7 linked regions of the Canis lupus familiaris genome follow. The protein of the gene in region 1 binds, or shares a complex with, the protein of each later gene. Links are inferred from orthologs where the notes say so. Each region holds a gene or a part of one and is shown on either strand. Other genes may lie near its edges. The genes, in order: SGF29, TADA3, KAT2A, KAT14, MBIP, TADA2A and YEATS2.

The links.
Region 2: SGF29 (region 1) and TADA3 share a complex: the UniProt entries of both Homo sapiens proteins name them as parts of the ADA2A-containing complex. The link is inferred for Canis lupus familiaris from reciprocal best matches to the Homo sapiens genes SGF29 and TADA3.
Region 3: SGF29 (region 1) and KAT2A share a complex: the UniProt entries of both Homo sapiens proteins name them as parts of the ADA2A-containing complex. The link is inferred for Canis lupus familiaris from reciprocal best matches to the Homo sapiens genes SGF29 and KAT2A.
Region 4: SGF29 (region 1) and KAT14 share a complex: the UniProt entries of both Homo sapiens proteins name them as parts of the ADA2A-containing complex. The link is inferred for Canis lupus familiaris from reciprocal best matches to the Homo sapiens genes SGF29 and KAT14.
Region 5: SGF29 (region 1) and MBIP share a complex: the UniProt entries of both Homo sapiens proteins name them as parts of the ADA2A-containing complex. The link is inferred for Canis lupus familiaris from reciprocal best matches to the Homo sapiens genes SGF29 and MBIP.
Region 6: SGF29 (region 1) and TADA2A share a complex: the UniProt entries of both Homo sapiens proteins name them as parts of the ADA2A-containing complex. The link is inferred for Canis lupus familiaris from reciprocal best matches to the Homo sapiens genes SGF29 and TADA2A.
Region 7: SGF29 (region 1) and YEATS2 share a complex: the UniProt entries of both Homo sapiens proteins name them as parts of the ADA2A-containing complex. The link is inferred for Canis lupus familiaris from reciprocal best matches to the Homo sapiens genes SGF29 and YEATS2.

What each region holds. Positions count from the first base shown.
Region 1 is NC_049227.1:18,345,519-18,348,540, forward strand, and holds the end of SGF29 (SAGA-associated factor 29), read right to left. Parts: intron 2,279-3,022; coding exon 2,149-2,278; intron 2,072-2,148; coding exon 1,925-2,071; intron 1,731-1,924; coding exon 1,695-1,730; intron 1,609-1,694; coding exon 1,446-1,608; intron 704-1,445; coding exon 587-703; 3' UTR 501-586; downstream 1-500. Other genes in the region: SULT1A1 (sulfotransferase 1A1), read left to right, coding at 1-12, 138-250. UniProt on the Homo sapiens protein: Chromatin reader component of some histone acetyltransferase (HAT) SAGA-type complexes like the TFTC-HAT, ATAC or STAGA complexes.
Region 2 is NC_049241.1:8,529,778-8,533,277, reverse strand, and holds part of TADA3 (transcriptional adapter 3), read right to left. Parts: intron 1,039-3,500; coding exon 853-1,038; intron 1-852. UniProt on the Homo sapiens protein: Functions as a component of the PCAF complex. The PCAF complex is capable of efficiently acetylating histones in a nucleosomal context. The PCAF complex could be considered as the human version of the yeast SAGA complex.
Region 3 is NC_049230.1:20,651,246-20,655,401, reverse strand, and holds the start of KAT2A (histone acetyltransferase KAT2A), read right to left. Parts: upstream 2,801-4,156; 5' UTR 2,091-2,800; coding exon 1,554-2,090; intron 1,415-1,553; coding exon 1,291-1,414; intron 955-1,290; coding exon 809-954; intron 698-808; coding exon 608-697; intron 326-607; coding exon 144-325; intron 23-143; coding exon 1-22. Other genes in the region: HSPB9 (heat shock protein beta-9), read left to right, coding at 3,006-3,467. UniProt on the Homo sapiens protein: Protein lysine acyltransferase that can act as a acetyltransferase, glutaryltransferase, succinyltransferase or malonyltransferase, depending on the context.
Region 4 is NC_049245.1:5,328,165-5,331,664, forward strand, and holds part of KAT14 (cysteine-rich protein 2-binding protein), read right to left. Parts: intron 2,785-3,500; coding exon 2,648-2,784; intron 1,130-2,647; coding exon 954-1,129; intron 1-953. UniProt on the Homo sapiens protein: Component of the ATAC complex, a complex with histone acetyltransferase activity on histones H3 and H4. May function as a scaffold for the ATAC complex to promote ATAC complex stability. Has also weak histone acetyltransferase activity toward histone H4.
Region 5 is NC_049229.1:15,070,287-15,074,289, forward strand, and holds the start of MBIP (MAP3K12-binding inhibitory protein 1), read right to left. Parts: upstream 2,801-4,003; 5' UTR 2,738-2,800; coding exon 2,609-2,737; intron 1-2,608. UniProt on the Homo sapiens protein: Inhibits the MAP3K12 activity to induce the activation of the JNK/SAPK pathway. Component of the ATAC complex, a complex with histone acetyltransferase activity on histones H3 and H4.
Region 6 is NC_049230.1:37,195,765-37,199,264, forward strand, and holds part of TADA2A (transcriptional adapter 2-alpha), read left to right. Parts: intron 1-1,388; coding exon 1,389-1,499; intron 1,500-2,988; coding exon 2,989-3,060; intron 3,061-3,500. UniProt on the Homo sapiens protein: Component of the ATAC complex, a complex with histone acetyltransferase activity on histones H3 and H4. Required for the function of some acidic activation domains, which activate transcription from a distant site. Binds double-stranded DNA.
Region 7 is NC_049255.1:16,916,523-16,920,022, forward strand, and holds part of YEATS2 (YEATS domain-containing protein 2), read left to right. Parts: coding exon 1-83; intron 84-852; coding exon 853-1,011; intron 1,012-3,500. UniProt on the Homo sapiens protein: Chromatin reader component of the ATAC complex, a complex with histone acetyltransferase activity on histones H3 and H4. YEATS2 specifically recognizes and binds histone H3 crotonylated at 'Lys-27' (H3K27cr).

The sequences.
Region 1 (3,022 bases):
TCATGAGGAAAGGTGAGTACCCATGCAGGATGGCCATCTGGGGAGGCAAACATGAAAACGGAGGCAAGAGTTGGCCTGGGCCATCTGGGGCCTGCTCTGCAGCCGGGACCTGCAGCCACCTTCTCCTCCACCCACAGGCATCTCGGGGGACTGGAAGACCACCTTCACTGTGGCCCAGAATGAGCGCTTTGATGCCGACTATGCCAAGAAGATGGAGGGTTGTGGCCTCAGCTTCCGCACACAGCTGTGAGCAGTGCCCCCAGGAGGCACCCAAAGGCCCCGTGCTCTGACACAGCCAGCCCCCAGCTTCAAAAATAAAATTCCATTGGTATTACACTGAGAGCCTTTAATGCAAGCAAAAAGCAAACCTGAGCTGGAAGGAATTCCCCCTGGGATCAAATGAAGCTATCTTCCCTCCCTCCAGCTCTCCAATTCCCCAACCTGCCCTGGTATGGGGAGGGGCAGAAGGGCCTGGAAAAACAAAACCGAGGAGACGTGGGCAAAGGGGAACAATATTTATTTGCCACAATCTTTTGTTGCATTCCCCTGGGGGAGTGGCAGGAGATCTTGAGTCTGCCAGCCCACTTCACTTTTTCTTGGGCTCCTTACAAGCCACCACGTACCTCTGGGCCACATTGAGGGGAGGGGAGTAACCATCTGCATAGGAGGTGTCTTCAAACAGGACTGAATAGTCATCCTGGGGCTGCGGCAGGGGGCAGACAGGAGGGGCTAGTCAGAGACCCCCAGGCAAGGCCCCCCAGCCCAGACTGACAGAAACCTCTGGTACACGGGCTCCCAGCCTCTCCTGTCCCCATCTTCACTCAGAATTTAGTTCCTGCTATGACACAACCCTATTCTCGGCAACAAAGTGCCAGGGGACAAAGAGCAGGGAGGAGGAAGATTCGCGGTCTACGTTGGGGGGATTCTACATGGAGAGTCTGGTGCCTTTTGGGGACCCTCTAAGAAGGAGATCAGGGAAAACACCGAGGGCAGCAGGCAGGGATCCTGGAGGAAGCAAGCAGAGCAGCCTTGAAGCTGCCATCAGGTGTTGGGTCACCAGCACAAGGGAGCATGGCCTCAGATGAAGAAAGGCCAGTGGTGGATGAGTCAAGGCAGGGAAGACAGGTCCTGGGCACAGTGCTTCCCACCTCAGGGCTGCTCGTCTCAGTGCAAAAGTGGGGTGAGACTAGAGGATATACTGGTTCCATTCCACTCGGGGTTTGCTAGGACTCTGAGGATTAGCTGGCACTGCCTTAGGGGACAGGGCTTGAGGGCCCCTATGGGGCAGAGTAAGCAGGAGAGAGGGAGAAACTTGCAGGACTCTCTTAGCTCAGAGGGGCTGTCAGATGAGGACAGGAGGGGAAAAAGTGGAAGGTGACCCCAAGACCATCTGGTCAGCCCAGTCCTGGTGTCATGGTCTGTCTCCCCTGCAGGGGTTACCTTACCCGTTGTGGGGGCGTGTGGATCAGGGCACGGTAGAAGCAGGTGGTCTGAGGATACAGGGCCAGCACGAGCTGCTCCTTCTGAAATAAGGCTTCGGGGTCTGTCTCTGGGTTGGCTTTCCACTGGGGCAGAGGGATGATGCGCCGCCGGCTCAGGGTATGTCTCCTGGAAGGGGGGCTTAGATCAACCCACAGCCAGGTGGGAGGCTCCTTCCCAGCAGCTTCCATGGTCCCTCCCTGCCCAACACTCACTCTTTGCCTTCTTCATCAATGTCATCTACCTCATACCTGGAGAACAAAGAGAAAACAGAGGATGCAGGGAGATGCACGGTCCGAACCGGAGAGCGATGAGGAGGGGAAGCATCCCAGGGAGCTGGAGTCACACATCATCCCTGTCCCCACAGGGACCCTGGAGTGGGGTGGGGGGCTCTTCTCCCAGCCTACAGATGGGAGAGTCCACGGAGGGCCGGGTGTCCACTTACTTGTTGGTGGCGTGGCTGTAACTGACCACCTCAGCCAGGATCCACTGCTCATCCCCATCCACGGCCTTGACCCGGGCAGCCACCTTGTCTCCAGGTTTGGCCACGTAGTCCCCAGAGGCTGGAATGGCCCCACAGAGGGGTGGGGGCCTGAGGATGAACTGAGAGGTTAGTCCCAGCCCCTCCCTCCTGTCAGCTCCGCCCCTTGACCCCGGGCCTGCCCTCACTTGTCACCAGGTTTCCCGATCCACAAGGGCAGGGTCATGGCCGACTGCTGCAGCAGCGTCATCAGCACCCCCCTGCGCATGGTCTTCCGGGGGGGCTCCGAGTCATTGTACAGGCCCGCGATCTTGGCCGCTGCAGGAAGGAAGCGCGCCCCTGAGGCCCCAGAGATGGGGCTCCTGCCCCGGACCCTCGTTTGTACCGGTGCACGGAGCCATCAGTGGAGCTCAGCCTGGGGCCCACCTCCTTAATTACCACCAAGGGCCCCCCAGCAGATGCTTGCCGTCAGAGGCCCAATCTGCTCTCACAGATCTGGTAGATGTTGCTCTCAAGATCCCCTTGCAGGGAAGGAACCAAAGAGGGCAAAAGAAGGGTTCTGAGGTACTGGTCACATCTGTTTGCTTGGTTAGTGAAAATTTCATAAAGTTCTCTGTACAGTTAGGTCAGTCCTCTACTGAGTAGATGTCATTCAATAAAAAAAAGAATGTAGACAGTCTCCTGACCTTCTCAGGCATGGCTCAACACACTCAAAGTTGCACAAAGCCAACTGGCAGTGTGACGTTTTGATAGGCAAGCAGCCTGCCTACTGTGGGTTCACTGAAAGGGTAAGAGAGGTGGGAGAGCCACAGCAGTCTAAAAGTTCAGATTTGGAAGCCAACACCCTCTGTAAACTCCCATCTGAAGGATGGTTCTCACAAAGCAGCAGGTTGCTTACCGCAGCAAGAAGTGTGAGTGGGGGAGGGTAGCAGGAAGGAGGCTACTGCCTCAGGTACAAGGGGGAGAGAAGCCTTAGGGGACGGGGCACAATCTTCCAAGTCTGTAGAGGGTCACTGAGAGCCCCTGCCTCTTAGCGCTGGTAATGACCTCCAACCCCTCCCA
Region 2 (3,500 bases), on another chromosome or scaffold:
CTTAGCAGCTTGTCAGCAGTTCCCTCACTTTTTAATGGTATAACTCTTTACCAAAGCTCATTTGTAGACCACAAGCCTTTGCTCTGCCTCTCCTCCTACCCCCCAGGACAATGTATAAGAGACAGGCAGAACCAGCCAAATCATGTGTGTCCTGCCTTGTTGGAGCTATGTGAAGCGAAGACACATAGCTTGCCAATGAGGCTGCTTCTCTACCTTCCCTCAGAAAGGCAAACAACTACCATAATCTCCCTCCAGATGTCACCTATACTTTTGTCATGACCAACACAGGGCAAGATGGATGGGAGTCAATATAAAATGAAAGATATTGTGACCAATTGCCTAAATAACGGATACTAAAATACTGGACAATTTCAGTGAAGGGCCAATAATAATCACAGATGTCCAACAAAATTGTTAACAGTTGATAAATCTAGAGAGTATATTGGTATTTATTGTACTGCTCCTTCAGATGTTCTGTGTTTATGAAAATTTTCATAAAAGTATGTTGGGGGAAAAAGAAAAGAAGCATAAAAAATAAGTCACACAACAATGTGAATATAAGTAATACCACTGAACTATACGCTAAAAAATGGCTTAAAGAGCCAATTTTATATGTTTTTTTTCCACCACAATTCCAAATAGGTAAATAAATCCATCACAGATGCCTGAGCCCTAGAGTCTGTGGTGCCTGGCAATGATGTTTTTTCAAAGGCTCTCTAGATGATTTGGAAACCCTGCCAGGTTTAGGAAACCTGTTATAAAACCCCCAGAAGGTGACTGGCAGCGGCCCAGGCCTTCTCCCTAGGCACCCCCCCCCACCCCCGCCCGGCCATGTAACCCATCCACACTCACCTCAGCAGGTCATGCTTCTTGGTACGGTTATGGGCACTGAGTGCCTTCAGCTCAGCCTGCCGTTTGCGCAGCTCAGCAAGGACTTCATCCTCTGAGTCCTCTGCAGGGCGGTCCTCAGACTCCAACAAGCCCTGGGCAATCAGCTCCTCCTTGATGCGGCTCTCAAGGGACTTGGTATGTGGCACACTACAGAGGAAGAGAATCCTGAGCTCAAGGGCCGCCTTAGACGGGGGACCCCTGAGAGGTTCCAAGGTTAGTGAACACATTCTTTTCTCTTTGGGTACCCCCTCTCTATCTAGGTATAAAAATATAGAGAAAATGTTAAGGGCTGAAATCATGAAACTCCTAGAAGAAAATCTAGGAATAAAGCTCCTTGACATGCGATGGGTCTTGGCAATGACTTTGGCTGTGACACCTAAAGCACAAGCAACAAAATAAACAAGTGGGACTACATCAAAAAACTACTTCTGTACAGCAAAAGAAATCATCAACAAAGTGGAAAGATAACTTACAGAATGGGAAAAAATATTTGCAAATGATGTATCTGATGAGAAGTTAATATCCACTATATATAAAGAACTCCTATAACTCAAAAGCAGTAAACCCACTCAATTAAAAACTGGGCAAAGGTTCTCAATAGACATTTTCCCAAAGAAGATATACAAAAGGCCAACAGGTATATGAAAAGATGCTCAACATCCCTAGTTATTAGAGAAATGCAAATTAAAACCACAACAAGTTATCACTTCTGGCCTATTAGAATGGCCATCATCAAAAAGACAAGATCACAAATATTGGCGAGGATTTGGAGAAAAGGGAACCCTCCTGCACTGTTGGGGAAGGTAAACTGGTGCAGTCACTGTGGAACACCATGTGGAGGATCCTCAAAGAATTAACAACAGAACTCCCATATGATAAGCCATTTCAATTCTGAGAATATGCATAAAGGAAATGTAAATAACTAACTTGAGAAGATATCTGAACCCCCATGTTCACAGCATTATTTATAATAGTCAAGATACAAAAGCAACCTCGATGTCCATTGAAGGGCAAATGGATAAAGAAATTGTGGTATATATACAAGATTATTCAAACTAGAAAAACTAGGAAATCCTACCAATTGTGACAACATGGATGGACTCTGAATGCATTATGCTAAGTGAAATAAGTCAGAGAGAGAATAACAAATACCATACAATCTCACTTCTATGTGGAATCTAAAAAAAAAAAAAAAAAAAAAAAAAATCAAAAAACAAAAAACTCAAATTCATAGAAAAAGAGAGCAGACCTTCCACTACCAGAAGCAGAGGATGGGGGGAGGACAACTGGAAGAAGGTGATCAAAAGGTACAAACTCCCAATTATGAGATAAGTCCTAAAATACCATATACGACATGACGACTGTACCTAACACTACTGTATGATACATAGGGAAAGTTATGAAAAGTGTAAATCCTAAGAATTCACATCACAAAGGGAAATATTTTTTTTTCTTTTTCTTCTTCTTGTATCTATGTGAGATAGATGTTAGCTGAACCCATTGTGGTAATCATTTCACAACACACGTAAATCAGGCCACGTGAGTGTTTTGTACATGTACACCTTAAACTCACACAGGGATGTATATCAATTATTGTTCAATATGCTGGAAAAAATATAGAGACAGACACATCTGGTCTTGTTTCAAACACAAGCCAACACATAGCCGTTGTCAAAGAATATAGAAAAACCTATAATGCCAACAACTTAGAACCACTATCTTTTTATGTTACTATCAAAAACATTAGTTATTTTGCTATTAATGTTACATATACAAAAATATATTTTATGATATATTCCTTATATACCATACATACTTCAGATTTTGTTACCTTATCTCCAATCTTTTCTCTTTTTTTTTAAGATTTTATTTATTCATGAGAGACACAGAGAGAGAGAGGCAGAGACACAGGCAGAGGGATAGGCAGAATCCATGAATGGAGCCCAATGTGGGACTCAATCCCGGGACTCCAGGATCATGCCCTGGGCTGAAGGCAGGCGCTAAACCGCTGGGCCACCTGGGCGTCCCTCTCCAATCTTTTATTACACATTATTTTAGTTTTTTTCCCAATGTGCACATATTTAAGTATATGCTGAGTAAAAACAGGATCAAACCCTAGTATGCTCAACTGACATGTTCTCCTTTTAGCACTCTATTGTTTACAGATTTTCACATCAATTAACTATGTTTCTCTAAGATGATTAATAGTTACAAGTTATTTCATCATATGGAGTCACAACTCTATCCAACCAATCCCCTTCAGATGTACATTTAGGTCATTTACCATATGGAAAGCACTATGATAAACAACCCTGTACTTAAGTCTATTCGTGCTGGGACGCCTGGGTGGTTCAGTGCCTGAGTGTCTGCTTTTGGCTCAGGGTGTGATCCCGGGGTGCCGGGATCGAGTCCCACATCGGGCTCTTTGCATGGAGTCTGCTTCTCCCCCTGCCTACGTCTCTGCTTCTCTCTGTGTCTCTCATGAATAAATAAAATCTTAAAACAACAAAAAAAAGTCTATGCATGCAGAAATGCTGAGTCTTTCTGCATATTTAAAACTTTCATTGGGGGATGCCTGGGTGGCTCAGTGGTTGAGCACCTGCCTTCAC
Region 3 (4,156 bases), on another chromosome or scaffold:
TACGTGGCAGTAGCAGAGCCATCTGCGGGCAGAGGGGAGGTAGGATGGAGAATGGAGACACTAAACCCAGGTTGGGCTTACGAGCACAAGCACCCCCACCCCTACCCCCTCCCCCACCCCCCGCTGGCCTTGGCCAGCCCTACCTGGTATAATTGACCTTGTAAGTAGCCACATCCTCAGCCTGAGACCGCTGCCGAAATTGGGCAGGAGTCTCAAGCTTCCAGTAGTTAAGGCAGAGCAGGAACATCTTTGAGAGTTCAAACATCGTCTGCCGCTCCCGAGGAGCCAGGTGACTAAACTTATACTGCACAAAGTTCAGCACACCCTGAGAAGGGGTGGGTAGGGAACAAGACCAGGAAGGAGACGTGAGCGGCCAGCAGGGGTTTCTTATACAAAATCTGGTGCTTCCTGAGGGCAGGCTAAAGCTCCCCTCTCACTCGGGCTCTCTGTGAAGAAAAATTGTGCCCCCTTCCCAGCCCCATGCCCATCTTGAACATCCTCCCTTCTCTGAACCTGTCCCTTGTTCTCAGCTTGAGGAAGATGGGGAACACAGGCTCCTCACTCCTCCAAGATGCCCCCAATTCTCTTACTACCTTCCTCATCCCACCTGCTCAATATTAGGCTTCTCAAATGGGGGACTGCCCAGGGAGCCCTCCACCACTGGCCGGGTCATCTGCAGGATGCATTTCCGCAGGAGCTGGAGGAAGAGGAAGAGGGAGGAGTAGAGGTCAGTGGAGCTCAGAGCTGCAAACTCCCCAGTCCAGCCCCACCTCCTTTGCTCATTCACACTCACTTGGATGAAGCTCACCTTGAAGAGGTAGAAATAGACCTGCTTAGTGTCCGTGTCCTCCTCTTTGTGAACAGACATGAACAGGTTCTCCACGTCTACCACCATACCCAGCAGCCGGTTAATCTCATCTTCTGACACATTCTCCAGGTGGGACACGTGGTCAGCTGCAAGAAGGAAAGGTGGTAGGATTGGAAAGAAAGGATAGATGACGAGAGCTCTCTCTCACTCTTCATCACCAATTTACAACCTTGGTAGCTCCAAACAGCATGACCAGTAGTGAGACTGACTGCTACTATGTCAGCCTTGGGTGGACCCTGTCTATTCCGGGCTGGCAAATTTCCTTTCTCTTCCCTTGGGAGGGATACATGTTCCCAACCCAATCCCTCCTTCGGAGGCATTTTTGGTTCCAAAGATAAAACTCAGTGGCACTTAAATTATCCTGTCCAAGCAGGCCCCAGGACCTGCCCCCGCCCCAGCTCCAAGGGCACTACCTGCCTTACCCAAGGGGTGCTCACAGCTGCGGCACAGCTCGCTCAGGTTGGCAGCTGGCTGCTGCAGGTCCATGCGGGGTGCAGTGGGGGGCTTGGGGTTTTTCCAGCCATTACACTTGCAGGTTTCATTGGCCTGGCGTTAGAAAACTCGGTCAATAGCCCTGTAACCGGGCACGGGGAGCCGATCCCCAGCCACAGATTTGCCCCCATTCCCACCGGAGCCCTGGGATGCCCCAAGCCCCGCCCCTTCTCACCCCAGGCCCCGCCCCCACCTTGCAAGCCGAGAAGACCCCTAGCTTCTCAAGCTTCTTGGCGCGCGGCAGCCCCCGGACTTGCGCCTTCCTCTGGCTGGCGCGCTGCTGCTGGCTCAGGCCAGGTCGAGCCGGATCCCCTCCGCTCCCGGTCCCCCCACTTCCTACCCCGGGACCCCCAGTCCCTGTGCTGCCGGCTGGGGCTGCAACTGGCGCGGGGGCTGGTGCCGGAGTGGGAGCCGGAGTCGGGGCTGAAGCCGGGCTGGGGGCAGGAGTCGGAGGTGGGGCAGGGGCTGGAGACTGAAGGGGACGGGGCTGCGTGGCCGGAGCCGGGGTCGAGGCCTGGGAAGGTTCCGCCATGGCCTCCCCCGCAGCGGAGCGCGGCGCGGCGCTCCTAGCCCTAGGGCCGCATGGGCAACCGGCGCTCGGTGCGCAGGCGTCGCTGCGCCGGAGCATGATGGGAGTTGTAGTCTTCCACGACCGCTCCCTCCGTTTCTGGCTTCCAGACTTTTCTGTCCTGCCTCTTGGCCCCAGACAAGCAAGTGAAGCCTGAGCCATTACCCTAGATTGTCTCCTCCTCACTTCTAATCTCTTTGAAGTCTTATGGGATAGCGAGGATTGCCGTTTTCTTGGGGACTTGGAGGAGCATCTGAGAAAACAGGCTCCTGTTGAGGGGAATCACAGATGCTGCCCGGGGTCGTGTTGGCTTCCGCCCCTCCACCCCCTGTCCCTGTCCCACACGTCTGCGGACACGGAAGTGCAGCCACAGCGGAGATTAAGAAGCAACACTTCCATTTCTTGCCCCGTGGAGGTGGCTACATGGGGGTGCTCTCTGGGGGATAATTCAGTGGTACTCTCTGGTGCGCTTCTTCTATTATGTTATATTTCAGCAATAAAGGATTATCATAAAAGCCGTGAGCGCCTGAAGGCAGGGTTCGCGTCTTCCTTCTGTCCCAGAGCCCAGCCCTCAGGCGGCCACAGTAGACCCAGAGTCTGACGAATGAAGGAAACCAGGAAGTCGCGGTCACCTCCTAAGCCCCGTGTCACAAGACCGTGCGCGGTCAGGATGGAAGACCCTCACGGTCACACCCCCGGGCTCGGTTCAGGGGACAGCCCTTCTTGTCCTCAGGCCTGATTCTGGGAAGGGCAAGAGCCCGGCTCCATCTCGCCTCCGCCCTGCGCTGGTGAGCGCTACAGGGTCGGCTGGTCTGCGCTGGTGGGTCACCGCCCCGGGAGCCAGGATGAGAGCAGCAGTGGCGCGCCAGGGCGGTGACCACCAGGCCTGCGGAGACCGGACTGGCGTAGCAGGCGGCCGCGGAGGAGCGGAGGAGCCAGGCCGCCCCAGGGCCTCTCCCCAGGGCGCGCAGCCGCACCCCCGCCCCCCCCCCCCCCCACGCCGCCGCCGCCACCGAGCGCCCAGAGCCACGCCCAGGGCCTCGCGCCCTCGCCCTCGGACAGCAGTTGCTCAGTCGGATGCAGCGGGTTGGTAGCGGTCTCCCCAGCGGGAGCCAGGTGGCATCCCGCTGTCCCAGCGTGGCCCTTGCCCAACAGAACCAGGTGGCCACACTGCCCGTACGGCTCCTGAGGGACGATGTGGTGACTGCGCAGAACAACTTCCATGCAGAGAATGGCTTCCAGATGAAGGTGGATGCCTGTGGCTTTGCCCCGGAGGAGCTGGTGGTGCAAGTGGACGGCCAATGTCTGATGGTGACCGGCCAGAGGCAACTGGAGGGCTGCAGCCCAGATGGGGCTGGCTACCGTGTGGCGCAGAGGGTGCATCGGCAGATCCAACTACCACCGGACCTGGATCCCACTGCCGTGACCTGCAGCATGACCCCCTCCGGCCAGCTGTGCGTCGGAGGCCAGTGCCAGGGCGCTGCCTTCCCAGGAAGCCCAAAAAGGCCCATCCCCGAGACTCCGAGGCCATGGCTCTAAGAAAGGTCAACCTACCCTGACCCAGTAAACAACAATTCTAGTGTGCAGCAGCAGCCTTGGTGTTCTGTGGTCTTTTCTTGGGGTTGGGATCAAAGGTGGAGGCATAATGGAGGTAGAGAGAGGGCCAGTGGAGGGCTTAGGGAGGCAGGAAAAGCACTTTACGGTGGTGGTCCAACAAGAATCAGGCCTCTGTGGCCCCGGGAGGAGCTGGGTCCGGGGCTCAGTAGACCAACAGCCCTGTGCTGGGCAAATGACAGCAGCAGCTCCAGCAGGGAGCAGCAGAGGGCCAGGATGGCAGCGGGGGCACCAGGCTCCACAACCAGCAGAGGGCCCCGGCAGACCAGAGATCAGATAGATACAAAGACTGGACTTGATGTGGGGTGGTCTCTTGGTCTGAAGACCAGGCAAAGGTTCCAGAGATCACCTGGGAAGAGGATGAGAAGACCCAGTCCTTCACAAGGTACAGACTAACCAAAAAACCCCAAGAGGTGGTTTCTGTTGTTTCAGAGACCAACTATTTTCAAATACAAACTGCACATCACCCCAATATAATCTGGAGGGGGGTGGGGGCAAGGCTAATACAAGCCCTCAATTTCAAACTTGGGGAGATTCAGCTCTAGGTCACTCTCACCACCACCACCCCCTTACAGCTGGTACCAGTAAGGGCCTCTTTCTCTTGGTTACCATAA
Region 4 (3,500 bases), on another chromosome or scaffold:
AAGGGTGGGAGCAAAGACCCCGAGAGCCCATACTGTCCTGTTCTTCACCTTATACATATACAGCTGACAAGCTCTTTTGTACAAATGCTACATTTTACAATAAAGGGGATAAACACAAAATAATTGTATGCATAATGTTGGAGGCACCCAGAGTAAGGTCAGAAGTAGCAGATGCTTCTGGAATGTTCCTTTTGGCCCCCATACCACTCCTAAAAGAATGAGCACAACTCTACCACCACGTGCACTATTACCTGACTATCAGACAAGAAAGATGACACAGCACTAATCCCGATGATATCTTATCTAACATCTAGAAGACATGTAATATTTCTCTTGCGTTTCAAAGCAGCGCAGTAAGGCAGATCCACAAAGAACATGTTTATATGTAGTGACGAAAATGCATTCATTCCTTTACTTGGTGGCTTGGGTCTTCAGAGAGACAACATATTGAGGCTGATAAAATGACAAATCACACTGGGTTTACTCTTATTTTCAAAGTCTGCAATTGGGGTATTTGGCTTTTTAAAAATGCCTTTTGGCTGTACTAACACTCTCCCCAAGGAATAGCTAAATAAACAAAATCACAGAATTATTAAGCAAAAAATCAAAAGTGTCCAGACATGCCCAAGCTACCAGTCAGTGTATCACTGGTAGACATTATTTGGTATCTAAACTTATGTAGAAGCAAAACAGGTTGAAACTTTTATCCTGGAAGCAGAGACAGGGAAGAGAAACATACAAAAACACTATTTATTACTTTAATTGCTGGCTTCTTTTTGATCTCAGAAAAAAAAAACGTGTTTATATTTTATTATTTCTATCTTAGTAGAGACAAACTAAATGAAATCATGAGTAAAGGTTTTAGAATCACACGACATACATTAATTAAAAAAAAAATCAATAAAGTGAACTACACAAAACACTGATTTGCTTAGTTTCGAAGGGGAACATACCAGGCCAAAAAAACTCCTGACACATAGAGTTTATCGTTGGGATGTGATTTGGCCGGACATAACAGTAATCAAGAGGTGCCTCGGCTTCCGGCATCCAGTGAGGGTCACTCCTGTGCAGGTGGGAACGAATCTGTGACAGGAGCTGCAGTTTGGGTGGCTTTGTTTCATAGTCACGCCTCCAGGATCACAGAAAACAACAAATTCAAGTAAGAAAAATATCCGTTATTATTCCTAGCCAAGTTATTCACATAAACTATTCTGCCTGAAAATTTTAAGCTAACTTGTGCTACTTCCTATGGCAGACAGCTTGGTAACTTGATAGCCTGACAGTTTTCTGGAATGAAATTTAAAATTCGCTCTGTTAGGGGTGCCTGGGTTGCTCAGTCAATTACACATCTGCCTTCGGCCCAAGTCATAATTCCAGGGTCCTGAGACAGAGCTCTGCATCCAGCTTCCTGCTCAGTAGGGACTCTGCTTCTCCTTCCCCCTGCTCCCTGCTTATGTTCTCTCTCACTCTTTTCTATCTCAAATAAAACCTTAAAAATAAAATTCTCTCTATTAACATGCATCAGACCAAAGCACTCTGTACCTGTACTCTGGAACCCTACTTGTGCTGGTGAGCCTTAATGGACAGAATGAGGGAACACACAGCAGCCTGATTCCAGCCTGCGTGCTCTGGCCCAGGAAAGAGCCTGAGGAGGGAGGGTGCAGGTCCAACGGGGCTGCTGGGGCAGGCTTGCATGCGGCCTCTCACAGGCTCTGCCAGGGATGGCGGTGCTGGGCAAAGAGGATCAGGTGATCTAGAGAAAGCATGGTCAATAAGACAACACAACTTTCTCAAGACAGCACTAGGGACCTCTCTAGTTAGCTTAGCTTCCACAGCACTGCCTAGACAATGAGACTCATCATCACCCTCAAATATGAGCCCAACTGAGATGTCTCTCCCATTTTTTTTTTTTCATTTCACAGACTACTGAATATATATAACTTTAAAATTTAAAGAAACTCAATAATGAGTATAATACTCATAATGAAGTCTAATGGAGTTAACTTATCCTTGCTTTTTAATTTCTTCTATTTTTATTTTTATTTTTAAAGATTTTATTTGAGGGACGCCTTGGTGGCTCAGTGGTTGAGCATCTGCCTTCAGCTCAGGGCATGATCCTGGGGTCCTGGGATCGAGTCCCACATCAGGCTCCCAGCAGAGAGCCTGCTTCTCCCTCCACCTATGTCTCTGCCTCTCTCCATGTCTCACTCATAAATAAATAAATAAATAAGATCTTAAAAAAAAAAAAGAAAAGATTTTATTTGAGAGAGAGTGAGTGAGGGAGAGAGCACAGCCAGGGTGAGGGGCAGAGGGAGAGAATCCCAAACAGACTCCCTGCTGAGTGTGGTGCCTGATATGGGGCTTGATCCCAGGACTCTGGGATCTTGACCTGAACCAAAGGCAGATGCTTAACCGACTAAGCCACCCAGGCACCCTGCTTTTTATATTTCTTTCAAAGGACCATCATTTCTGCAAAAAACGTATAGTTGAAGCAAACAAAAGACTGAACACAGAGCACAGACTCAGTCTGTGTCAATGCCTGCTCACAGGGGTTGGTCTAGACTTGCTCCAATGGGAAACCAGGGCACAGAAGCCACAAATACCATTCCTCACAACACACTCAACATCACAGCTCTTTTCCACATACCTGATATAAGGTTTCAAGATCCGAGAGGTGTAAGGGCTGACAATACTCTGGTCCACAGCCATATCTTCCGATCCCACCAAACGATATAGAAACCTAGTGGTCTGGTGCCGAAATCCTTTCCTGGATGGCAAGGCAGTCTAGGAGAAAGAAACGCTGGTTATGTCAAGATAAAGTCACTGAAAGGATTGGTTTGATTTCAGAGAATTAGTATGTACATATTCTAATGTGTCAGAAAGTAGGCCTTTTTGTGTTACTTATTCGGAACGCTCAGATTTCAATACAAATCTCACAGGTACCACATAAAATTAGATATGAAAAACCAATCTTGGTTCTCACAGTTTAAAATTGAAATAATTAAAAAAATTTTTAAGTTAAAGATCTTAAGTCATTTAAGTGAGTGAAATTCAAGACCGAGCACTGGATTTACGGTTTCTGTAAGTTTCATTCTACCTAATAACATCTCCAATCCACAGTCATCAGATATTAACACACTAAAAACGTGGGTTCTGCTGCAGGAGTATTCTGTTATCCACAGAGCAGCAGGGACCAATTACAGCTGCTCCTGTATACAGATTTATTAAAAAATGCCTCTATTCCGATGAGTAAATTTAACAGGTGTAGGACTATCATTCCTATGACAAATCATGAAAGCAGAGAGGCCCTACCAGGGGTTGAATGAGGAGGTGGCTCTGTGTTCCTTAGGTGGGTGTCCTGATAGAACAGGTGGGCTTCACCCTGGAAGCCTGACTAGAGATGCCAGCACTAGGGAGTGCTGCTCCAGGGCCCTCACCATGTAGTAACAGAACATGTGCAATTAAGGTTTTATAGCAAAGAGCCCAGATGGAAGATTAAA
Region 5 (4,003 bases), on another chromosome or scaffold:
GTATTACATTAGTTCAAATACTGATGTTATGAGTTGTGATTCTAATAAAACAAAAAGATGAATCACTGTACAAAGAACCAGAAATCCAAAGTTACCCAAAAAAGGCAGTATACTTAATGAATACTGTATGACAAAAATTTACCACCTTTTCCATGAGACAAGAAACATTTAAAGTCTGTATCAGACAACTATAAAGAAATAAGAAATTTTGGATAGGCTACACTGGCAGAGATTAGATTATATTAACTAAAGTTTTACATTAAGATTACTGCATTAATCTTAGTTTATATTATTTAATTACTGTACTTCTACAGTCCTCTAAGAGATCTACAGTTCCTAACAAATTTATAAATAGAGTTTTGGGATAACACAGACAAATCCTCAACTAAAGTAAAGCATCAAATTTCCTAAAGAAAATAAACAAATAAAATAAATCTTAATGTTGGGATCATATTCTCCTTTCAATTCAGCATAATTATGTAAGCCTTTCAAGCACAATTAAAGACACTTGGTTTTTTTAAAGAAAACTACATAATGATACAAATTAACTTTAAAATTATCATAATATATCCAACTATTTATTCAACAAATTCCCTATTAGTAATACGAATTCGATGCATTTTTACCCTTTATAACTTGTAAACGTAAAGCATTCACTCAAAAATGTATTGGTGTGACATTAATATGGACTATTTAAGTAAGCATTTTCCATAAAAAATTAGTATGAAACTCCAAGCTAACAATAAATAATGCTTCAACTTGGTAGAATGAGCCATGCTGTGGCAAGCAATAAGGTTAAAATAAGTAAATTTGAAATCTGGGATACTTTTTAACATTCAATTTTATGTTTCCTATTGAGGAGAGCCAACAATATAATGATACTATGCAGAATGAAACTAGGCATATTGAAACTTACTTTTTTTTTTTTTGAAACTTACATTAAAAAAAATATCCTATAAACTTGTTGCAAAAGTACATAGTGATTTCCTCCAGGGGCAATTTTATAATATTGTGGCTTTCATTCTTCCCTTTAAACAATACATCTCAAAATATAAAGACTAATATCAAAATAGTATTTAATTGATGAGACAATGATTTAATTTTTTGACACCTGTATAGATGGTCCCTTCAATGTGTCATGTAAACTTTCCAAATATGTACTCTCAACATTTTTGACAGGTGACATAAGTAAACTTTAATCACAAAATACGCGAATGTTTAAAATCTGTAAATGAGTTTTAAAAATTCAGTATGCAAAAATATTTCAAAAGAAATGTTTAAATTATTTCTTAATGTTACTTTAAAAAATTTATCACCACTGAAAATAAAACTGTAAATTACAGGTAAGCATAAACTTTTTTCATCGTGACATTAAAATATAAATAAACCTTAAAATTCCAATATCCAAGACAGAAAACGTTCTCAGACTTTTAACCATTACAGGTCTTGGGTGATAAGACTAAAATGTTAATGTCCCCAAGTCTTTAAAAAATTTTAATAAGTTGGCGGCAAACAACTGAGCTCAACAGTTACAACTTTTAGCAGATTCTGTTAATAATTGTTCCGTTAGACCAAATTAAATGTTTAACTTAGAGTAATGCTTTTTCTAAGGACAAACATATTAGGATTTTTAAAAATACTGAAATAACCTTTTAAAAAATTAATTCTCCATCCACTCACGGCTTTTAAAAATAACTTTTTACAAACTAGACAGGTGTTGTTTTCATAAACATTATCCTCGACATAAATGTTTGCTGTGCCTACTACATGCACTAATACCAACCCCATAACAAACTTTTAGAGTAAAAAAATATTCCGTCTAAGATACAAAAGATTTCCTTTTTAAAAGCAAACAAACTTATTTTCAAGTTGTTTATCATTTGTAATATGCTTTGCATTTTATTTCATGAAACAGTTGACTTGATTGAATAGTGTAAGGAGTACTTTTATTTAAACCCAATTTATTATGACATTTCTGCAGAAGCTATTCATCAGTCAGTTAAATTAGCTAATAATTAAATGACAAACAGTTCTGATGCAAACTCTATCAATCATGGATAACTCATCGAATTTTATGCAAGAAGTATTTACATTAATTCCTTTCATTTTTCCTCCCCATATGAAAGGGTAAGAGATGCACATGTAACAACCAGAAGGAAAAAAAAAAAAAGAAAGAAAACCAAGTGACTCCTAAAAGCAAATCAACCCCCCCCCCCCCCCAAAAAAAAAGCGGAGAGAGCTTTGCCAAAACTCTCAGGCCGTTACTTCTATCAATTTCTATCACAAATTCACTGAAGGATAGGGGATGCTGAGCGCCAGGCACCCTCCAAACCCACAAAGCTTTTTACGCCTTCGCTCTCTCCAAGCATGTTCTTCTGGGAGCCAGGTTTTTCACTTACACTATCCTCTCACTCTTGGGGAGAATTGCCAGCCCGTACGGCCTTCCTCGCTCCGACCGCAGCTAGGCTCAGGCTCCTCCGCCGGCCTCAGTACTCAGTCCCGGTCCCCGGCAGCCCTAAGCAGCCCCCCGCCTCCGCTAGAGGAAAAAAGGGGGGAGGGGCCGGAGAGTTCCCAACCCCCTGCTCTGCTCCCACAGACCACCACTCACTTGTCCCACCAGGCTATGCAGTGAGCGAAAGATTTCGCGGAGCACCTCTTGGGAGAGATTGGGGCTGCAGCTCCGTTCCGGACTCCTGTCACCACTGCTCGAGAGGCTAAGCTCAACGGCAGCAGCCATGACACCTTCGCAGGCTACCCCCGCCACCACCGAGCTGTGCTCACAACACCCGCCCCCCTCGCCCGCCCGCTTGCGTCGCCGGTAAATGACGTAAAAACACAGCGTCTCGTCCGGCCCGGGCCTTCGAGGACCCTCGTGACTGACAAGCCGGTGCGCCAATCAGGTGCAGCTGGAGCGTCACGCCAAGGAGCCGGAGCGGGTAATTGCCGACCTGGCGGAGCTGCGTACGGAATTTGGGACGGTGATTGGGGCGGTGGTCTAGGGAACGTTAGCGTCTGAAGCCTGTCTTGTGTTTTTAGGTGTTGCTTATGAGTGTTGAAGAGGAGACTTAGACCTAAACGTCAGAATTTTAGAAGTTAAAATTTTAGCTTTTAACATGGCGCTGTGGAGTGGTCTGGACAAAGATTGCTGTTCGGGGGTGCAGCAGGGCCCACACCTCTACACCCTGGAAAACTCTTTCACGTACGCTTGTATTTAGAACATTTTCACTTCTGCAAAGTTTAAAAACTTACACAAATTAACGTGACTAATTTTTCATGTGAGGGAGCAGAGGCTATAAAAGAACAATAAAATGCTCTACTGTTCCTGCTGTACTATCAATGGAAGAAAGGACATTAATTACTTTAAATCTGCAAAATAATTATGTCAAGTTTTAAAACGTGCATCAGTTGCTATTCTCTGAGTGATACTGTAGAGACACTCACCTAAACCTTTCAAAGAAGTGAGACACTCAAAACGATTCTAACAGTTTAATTCAAATAAGTAATTGCATGCAGCACAATCTTTGAAATTAGAAAAAATAAATGCGAATTGAAATTTGACAGCGTATTACTCATCAGATAGATTTATTAAAAGATATTTGAAGTACTTTTATAGTCCAACATTTAAAAGCTTTATGTTCAATTGAAGAAAAGAACAAAGGTTAGAAGAATTTTAAATGTTAAGCTCTATTAAAAAACAAAACCCGTCAGTTCAGAGATTAGGGACAAGGTATTTAAAATTCTTAATTCTAATAGTCTAATGCATTTACAGTAGAGGAAGCAAAGGTAGAAACTTGCACAATATGTATTCTTCAGTTTTAGAGTAGGCTGAATGAAAAGGAGCAGAATAGGCATCAGAGAACTGGAATGGGGTCAGTAGGGATAAAAGAACGCCTTTGACCTGTCCCTAGGGAGCCTCTTAATTAGGCTTTCATTTCCAAAGATCACCAGGCTTGACAGGATCTTGAGAAATCTTGTCTGTTCCCTTGTTCACAGCAAGATATAC
Region 6 (3,500 bases), on another chromosome or scaffold:
TTTGCTTTTGGTTGTGGGGGGTTTTTTGGTAGTGAAAATAATCAGTGGCTGCCCATGAAATCAGCACCTGAACTTTGTGGATAAGAATCTCTCTTTCAAGGGAAGAGATTCAGCTGAAAAAAGGACTTTATTTATTTATTTATTTATTAAAGATTGTTTTTATTTATTTCTGAGAATACACAGAGAGGAGAGAGAGAAGCAGAGACACAGGCAGAGGAAGAAGCAGGCACCATGCAAGGAGCCTGACATGGGACTCGATTCTGGGTCTCCAGGATCAGGCCCTGGGCCAAAGGCAGTGCTAAACTACTTGAGCCACCTGGGCTGCCCAAGAGGACTTAATTTAAATAACTATCATAATGGAAAGCATGTATCTATACTCTAGAAGTGAGCAGAACTAGCTTAGTTACTGATTAACTCACCTAATAAGTTTCAGCTTAGTTCATCTGAATGAAATGACCAAGTAGCAGTTCCTGGCTACTCCAACCTACCACTTATTGTTGGTAGGTTTTACTCCCCATCTTCTTTGCTGATAGTACTTTTTATTAGGAATGTGGTCATTAGGGCAGCCCAGGTGGCTCAGCAGTTTAGCGCCACCTTCAGTCCAGGGCCTAATCCTGGAGACCCAGGATCAAGTCCCACATTGGGCTCCCTGCATGGAGCCTGCTTCTCCGTCTGCCTGCCTCTCTCTCTCTCTTATGAATAAACAAATAAAATCTTAAAAAAAAGTGGGGTGGGGGGATGTGGTCATTAGTGATCCTCAGAGTTACTGACTGTGGCTACCCTGTATATATGACCATTTACTTGGATGATAGTTATGAAAATATAATTTCATTAGTAGTAAATTAAGTTGTGGTACTTAGAGGAAGGCAAAACGACCCTTATAGAGAGTGAAGAAATAAATGTCTCACTTGAGGATGTGTTGGTAAGGAGATTTCTAGTAGATATGGAAGAGATCACACATTTTTTATAGGCTAGTCTGCCTCTTCTAGATGGATTATTGTGTCTGCATTTCCCTTGTTTTCCTGCAGAGGTTAATACCAGAAATTTTGCCCAACATTGTTCCTAAAAATGCATGATCTACCTTTGTCTTTCCCATTACTACCAGCAGTCCCTGCCCCTGTACAAATTAAGAGACTGAGGTGTGGAGGTCACAGGCTGTTCAGTAATGCAGATGATCTTCAGTTCTCCAGGAATAACAATATCCCTATGTGATAGTCACTGTGATGCTGTTATCTTTATGATTAGTGTTTTGCATTGTTGGCTTTCCTGTTTGCTTCCTGTCATGGGTAAATTAGTCAGGTTAGGAATAGTGTCTGTCCTTCCATTTAATGAGAATGTAGAGATTTTTATTTTTTCTATGGCATGGTCGTGTTTTATTTTTTCTGTAGTAATGGAACGACGGTATCCCAAGGAAGTCCAAGACCTTTACGAAACAATGAGGCGATTTGCAAGGATAGTGGGGCCAGTGGAGCACGACAAGTTCATTGAAAGCCATGCACGTAGGTGCTTTTTAACCCTTGTGCAAATATTTGTGTTTGTGTGTGTTGATATAAATAGACAAAATGGTATGTTTTAGGTGAAGTTGTATAAATAAATAAATGGATATTTTTGTCTTCTCTTCCCCTTTATTACCTTGAACTAAATTTGGGACTTCAGGGGTGGAAGAGAAGGAGTTAAAAAGCCCAGTAGCTTTCCTTTTTCTCAGCTAAGCAGTAGTTTAGTAGTTTCTCCCCTCACTTTTTATTATGGAAGTTTTCAAATATATACAAAGGTAGAGATAATAGTGTAATGAACCCCCATGTAACTATCACCCAGCTCCGCAATTAATACATGACCAATCCACTTTCATTTTTATCACCCCCTCTTCTCTCACCCTCAACTGGATTATTTTGAAGCAAATCCCAGGCTTTGGGGCTTGAAATCAAGAGTCCATGCTCAACTGACTCAGCCAGCCAGGCACCCCAGTGCTTCTGCCATTTTTTTTTTTGCCTGTCTGAGAGAATTCATTTGATTTTTCACTATAAAAAATTAAAGTTTGTTAAGGCCATAAGGCTTACATTTTAAAATAATTTGGACTAAGTGGCTTAGTCTATACCTTTTCATCACAAGATTTGTGTATTTGACCCTCAAATTTAGTCCTGGGGAAAATGCTTTACCAGGGCTCTTGTCCTGTTCTCATCATGCAAATATTTCTTGCATGGCATTGTAGGCATTTATCTGAGCCAGGTCGGTTGTCCTCATCAAACACCCTGTTTGGTTGGCATTCTTTTTGTGATTTGTACTAGGTGACTGATCTTTTACTTCCTGCCCCAGTTTGTGCCATCCCTGGTTTATGTGTCACTCTAAAGAACTACACCCAATGGATTGTCCAGGCTCTTCCTTCATCCTCTGTTTCAAAGCACTCAAATTTGAATGTTCTATCACATAATAACCCAAGTAGTTGCAACCTGATCTGTGCACTCAGAGGAAGAAATCTTTGGTCTATGGAAAACAATGCTCTTTTGTTCCTATAGGAGAAAAGCTGTCAAGAAACTATCTAGGACTTGAGCACAGAGCTTTTGTCTTTTGCTTGCAAAAGGACCACATCAAGTAATAGCAGAGACAGGTTTTATAAAAGAATTTGGTTACGTGGATAAAACTGTTATTAGAGGATAAATAGAGCAGGGAAACTTAGTTGTTTAAGAAAATTATATTTGTTACTTCTGTAGCTAAATGAACTCAGCCAGTTTACTGTATGTTTTCTGGGAGACAATTCCAGCTGCTTTTTCCAGTTGGAGATGGCAGCGAAAAGATGGCTAGAGTAGATTTTTCTCAGTTCTTGAGTAAAATTTCTAATGAGATGTCACTAACATAATAGGATTCCTCACATGGAATTGCCCTGTCTTTTGTATAAGGCAGTATTACTGAAAATACTCAACAGCACCAGTGCTTACTGATGATGATTTTGTTTTTCCAATTTTTCTCCTTCATTCTTTTTGGGATAAACAGTGGAATTTGAACTCCGAAGGGAAATCAAGAGGCTCCAGGAATACAGGACAGCAGGCATCACCAATTTTTGTAGTAAGTGTGCTTATTAAGCTACACATTGTTTGGGGGGCAAGTCTCTTCTAAACACAAAGAGGAAGTCTCTGTTTGAAGTGATGTGGGTTTTTTTAAAACAAGCTTTCCCTTTTGGGAATGAGTGGTCTTTCCGGTAAAGACTCATCTGTTTAATTCTTATAAATTCCATTATATGGATCATCTCAGGTAAAATAAGAGTGATGACAAAAGAGAGGTGCTCCTTTAGATTTGAGAATCTGCTGTGCCCCCCCCAAAAAAAGGATTTTGTGTTCTAATTTTTAGTCTCAGTCTTTTAAAATTTTGTGATGCATGGTCTGATCATTTGTATTTTTTTTTTAAGATTTATTTATTTTTTTATTCAGAGAGAGAGAGAGAGGCAGAGACACAGGCAGAGGGAGAAGCAGGCTCCATGCAGGAAACCCGATGTGGGACTCAATCCC
Region 7 (3,500 bases), on another chromosome or scaffold:
GAGGAGCCCAGAGCCCCGCGGGCCCTGGAGGGATATCCCAGCACCTGACTTACACATCTTACATCCTGAAGCAGACTCCTCAGGTCTGATCATTCGTGACTGGTATCTTTCAAATCCTTTAGTTATTAACAACTTCCTTTAATTATACTGGATTTGTTTTTACATCTCTGGGATTGGGAGTCAATACTAACACTATAGCCACATGGAATCTTTATTATTTTGAGCTTGTTTTGAGAGGAGATAGAAGTTCAGAAAGACTTAAGTACGAGATCTCTCTGCTAAGCCAATGCTAGAATTTGGATTTAAACTCATAGCTTTCTGACTCAATTTTTGCTACACTGTTGCCTCCCAAATCCATGAGTTAATGAATAGTATTAAGAGACAGTTGAAAATTTTCTCTTGCAAGGGAGTAACCAGAGGAATACTATCAAGTTTTGGTATTTGGAGTTGAATTGGATTCATGATTAAGAATAAGTTTCTGCCTTCTTTCCCCTAGTTGCTTTTAAATCTTGACTCCTCTCTTAAGGAAGGTCGTGGAATTCTGGTCTAGATGTTCTTAATGAGAAGGATGGGTAGTTACCAGTCTGAATAATTCAGATTTAAAGACTAGGTTGTAGAACTTGACTGTCCAGCAGCCTGCTCCATAACTACTGTGCAGAGTTTCAGAAGTGGGGCTAGCTAGCTGTTGGTAGTGGAACTGAGGGCAGAGCTGTTCTTTTTAGTTATTTTGGCTGAGTTGCAGAATTGAAGGTGAGCATCGTAGCTTGTAACATGGGACCTTGTGATTTATAGGGTCAGGGCAAGTCATTTTCACTTAACAAATTACTGAGTAGATCTTTGTTTCTAACTTAGGGTACATTTTTAGTTGGTCAGCCATCACCGCAGACATCTGGAAAACAGCTGACTACTGGATCAGTGGTCCAGGGAACCCTGGGAGTCAGCACATCTTCTGCACAAGGACAACAGACGTTAAAAGTCATCTCTGGACAGAAAACCACTTTGTTTACCCAGGTAAATAGGCAAACACACACACATACCCCAAATATAGGATATTATGGCATTTATTTAAACATTTACAGCTTCTTTCTTTCCACAAAGAAATTAAAGATGCGAGATTAAAGATGAGAAAATAAACAATTAAATAGTATAAAAAAATAAGAATAAAATCTTGAGATTTGAGAAAACTATGAGTTAGAAATGAGAAGATAAAGCCAGAGTTATTAGATACGCAGTTATGTCTTTTATAATTACTAATACTTGCCAAAGCAAATCAAAAGCATGATCAGTTACAAAATTCACACTATTTGTGAGATGCAAAAGAAATACACACATAATACTTTCTTAAAAAAACAAAATTTTCTTGCTACTTCATTCTAAAACTTCACTGGAGAAACTTCATATAAGAGATTCTGAATAGTATAATAGATAATTATAGCTACAATATCCATATACAGTTGGCCCTTGAACAATGTGGGGTTTAGAGGTGCCAACCTCTCAGGCAGTGGGAAATTCCCATGTAACTCTACTTCCCCCACTAGTAATAGCCTACTGTTGACCAGGAGCCCTGCCGATAACACAAATAGTCAATTAACACACATTTTGTACGTTATATGTATCATATACTCTATTCTGACAAAAAGTAGCTAGAGAAAAGAAAATGTTATTAAATAATAAGGAAGAGGAAATATTTACAGAACTATACTGTATTTACTTTTAAAAAGAAACAAAAACAACCCATAGGGTACCTGACTGGCTCAGTCAGTAGAGTTTGTGACTCTTGATACCAGGGTTGTGAGTTCAAGCCCTACATTGGGCATGGAGTCTACTTAAAATAACAATTAAAAAGAAAAGACCCATGTATAAGTGGACCTGTGTAGTTCAAACCCCGTGTTGTTCAAGGGCCAGCTGTAAAAAGTAAATGTTGTAGGGGACTTGGTACATGTTTCTACAGCATTCTTTAGTGTGTAAGCCAAAGAATAGCGACAGGGCATTTTAGCTGGTGAGGGATGTCAGAATCACCTGCAGGAGAATCTATAGCTAGATCTCAAAAAGTTGACCAAATGAAGCAAACAAGGTATAGAAGGATAGGGGCAGTGTGATACCATTTATCAAAAAATCATTCATTTTCTCTGTGTGTAGATCAATAGTTCTCAAAGCATGGAATGTGGATATTGGATTTTCGTCAAATATTTTTTCTGTGTTTTATTGAGAAGATCATGTGTTTTTTTCTTTTTTTGTTGTGGTGAATTACATTAATTTTTAAAATGTTAAAATGGGTGCCTGGCTGGCTCAGTTGGTGCAGCATGTGACTTTTGATCTCAGGGTCATGAATTAGAGCCTTACATTGGGCATAGAGATTAATTAAAAAACATTTTTAAAAAGGTGTTAAACTAGCCCTGTACTCCTGGAATAAACCCTACCTCGTTGTGACATATTATCCTGTTTTAATGTGTTGTTGGGTTTCATTTGATAAAACTTTGTTTAGAATTTCTGTGAGAGTTATTGGCTAGTGGTTTTCTTCATAATTCTTGTCTGATTTTGATATCAGAGTAATGCTGGCCTCCTAAAATGAGTTAGCAACTTTTCTTTCCTGTTCAGTTTTTCATGAGATTTTCGGTAGAATTGGTATTATTTCTTCCGTGACTTTTTAAAAAAAGATTTTATTTATTTATTCATGAAAGACACAGAGAAAGAGAGAGACATAGGCAGAGGGAGAAGCAGGCTCCTTGCAGAGTCTGAACTGGGACTCAGTTCTAGAACTCTGGGATCATGCCTTGAGCAAAAGGCAGTGGCTCAACTACTGAGACACCCAGGTGTCCCCCTTAACTGTTTAGAGTACACCAGTGAAGCCATAATGACCTGGAGTCTTGTTAATTGGGAAGGTTTTTTAACTACAATTTAAATTTATTTAATAGATACAGGACTATTCAGGTTATTTGTTTTGTCTTGAGGGAGGTTTGGTAAGTTATATCTGTAAAGGAATGTGTCCATTTCATCTAAGTGGTTGAATTTACTAGACTAAAATTGTTCATAATTGTCCTTTATTATCCTTTTAATGTTTGTAAAATCTTTAATGATGGCCCCATTTTCTTTTCTTTTCTTAGAGAAAGAGTGCCCAAGTGGGGATTGGGGTGTTGTGGGGACAGAGAGAGAGAATCTTAAGCAGGCTCTATACCCAGCATGGGGCCTGCTGCAGGGCTCGATCTCATGATCCTGAGATCATGACCTGAGCTGAAATCAACAGTCAGATGCTTAACCAACTGAGCTACCCAGGCGCACCCCCCTTTCATTCTTGATTATGATAATTAAGCATCTTCTCTTTTCTTTCTTAATCATCAGTCTTTTCATATTAGTAGTATTTGGTTTCTTTGAGTGCTAATTTCCCTTTGGTCGGATGCGCTTAGTACTTAAACAGATATGAGGCCCCAAAATTCTTTAGGCAGTTCTTTTAAATCTTAGCTTATTTCTTCTTACCTGCTTATGGTTGCAGCCAGTGTGGT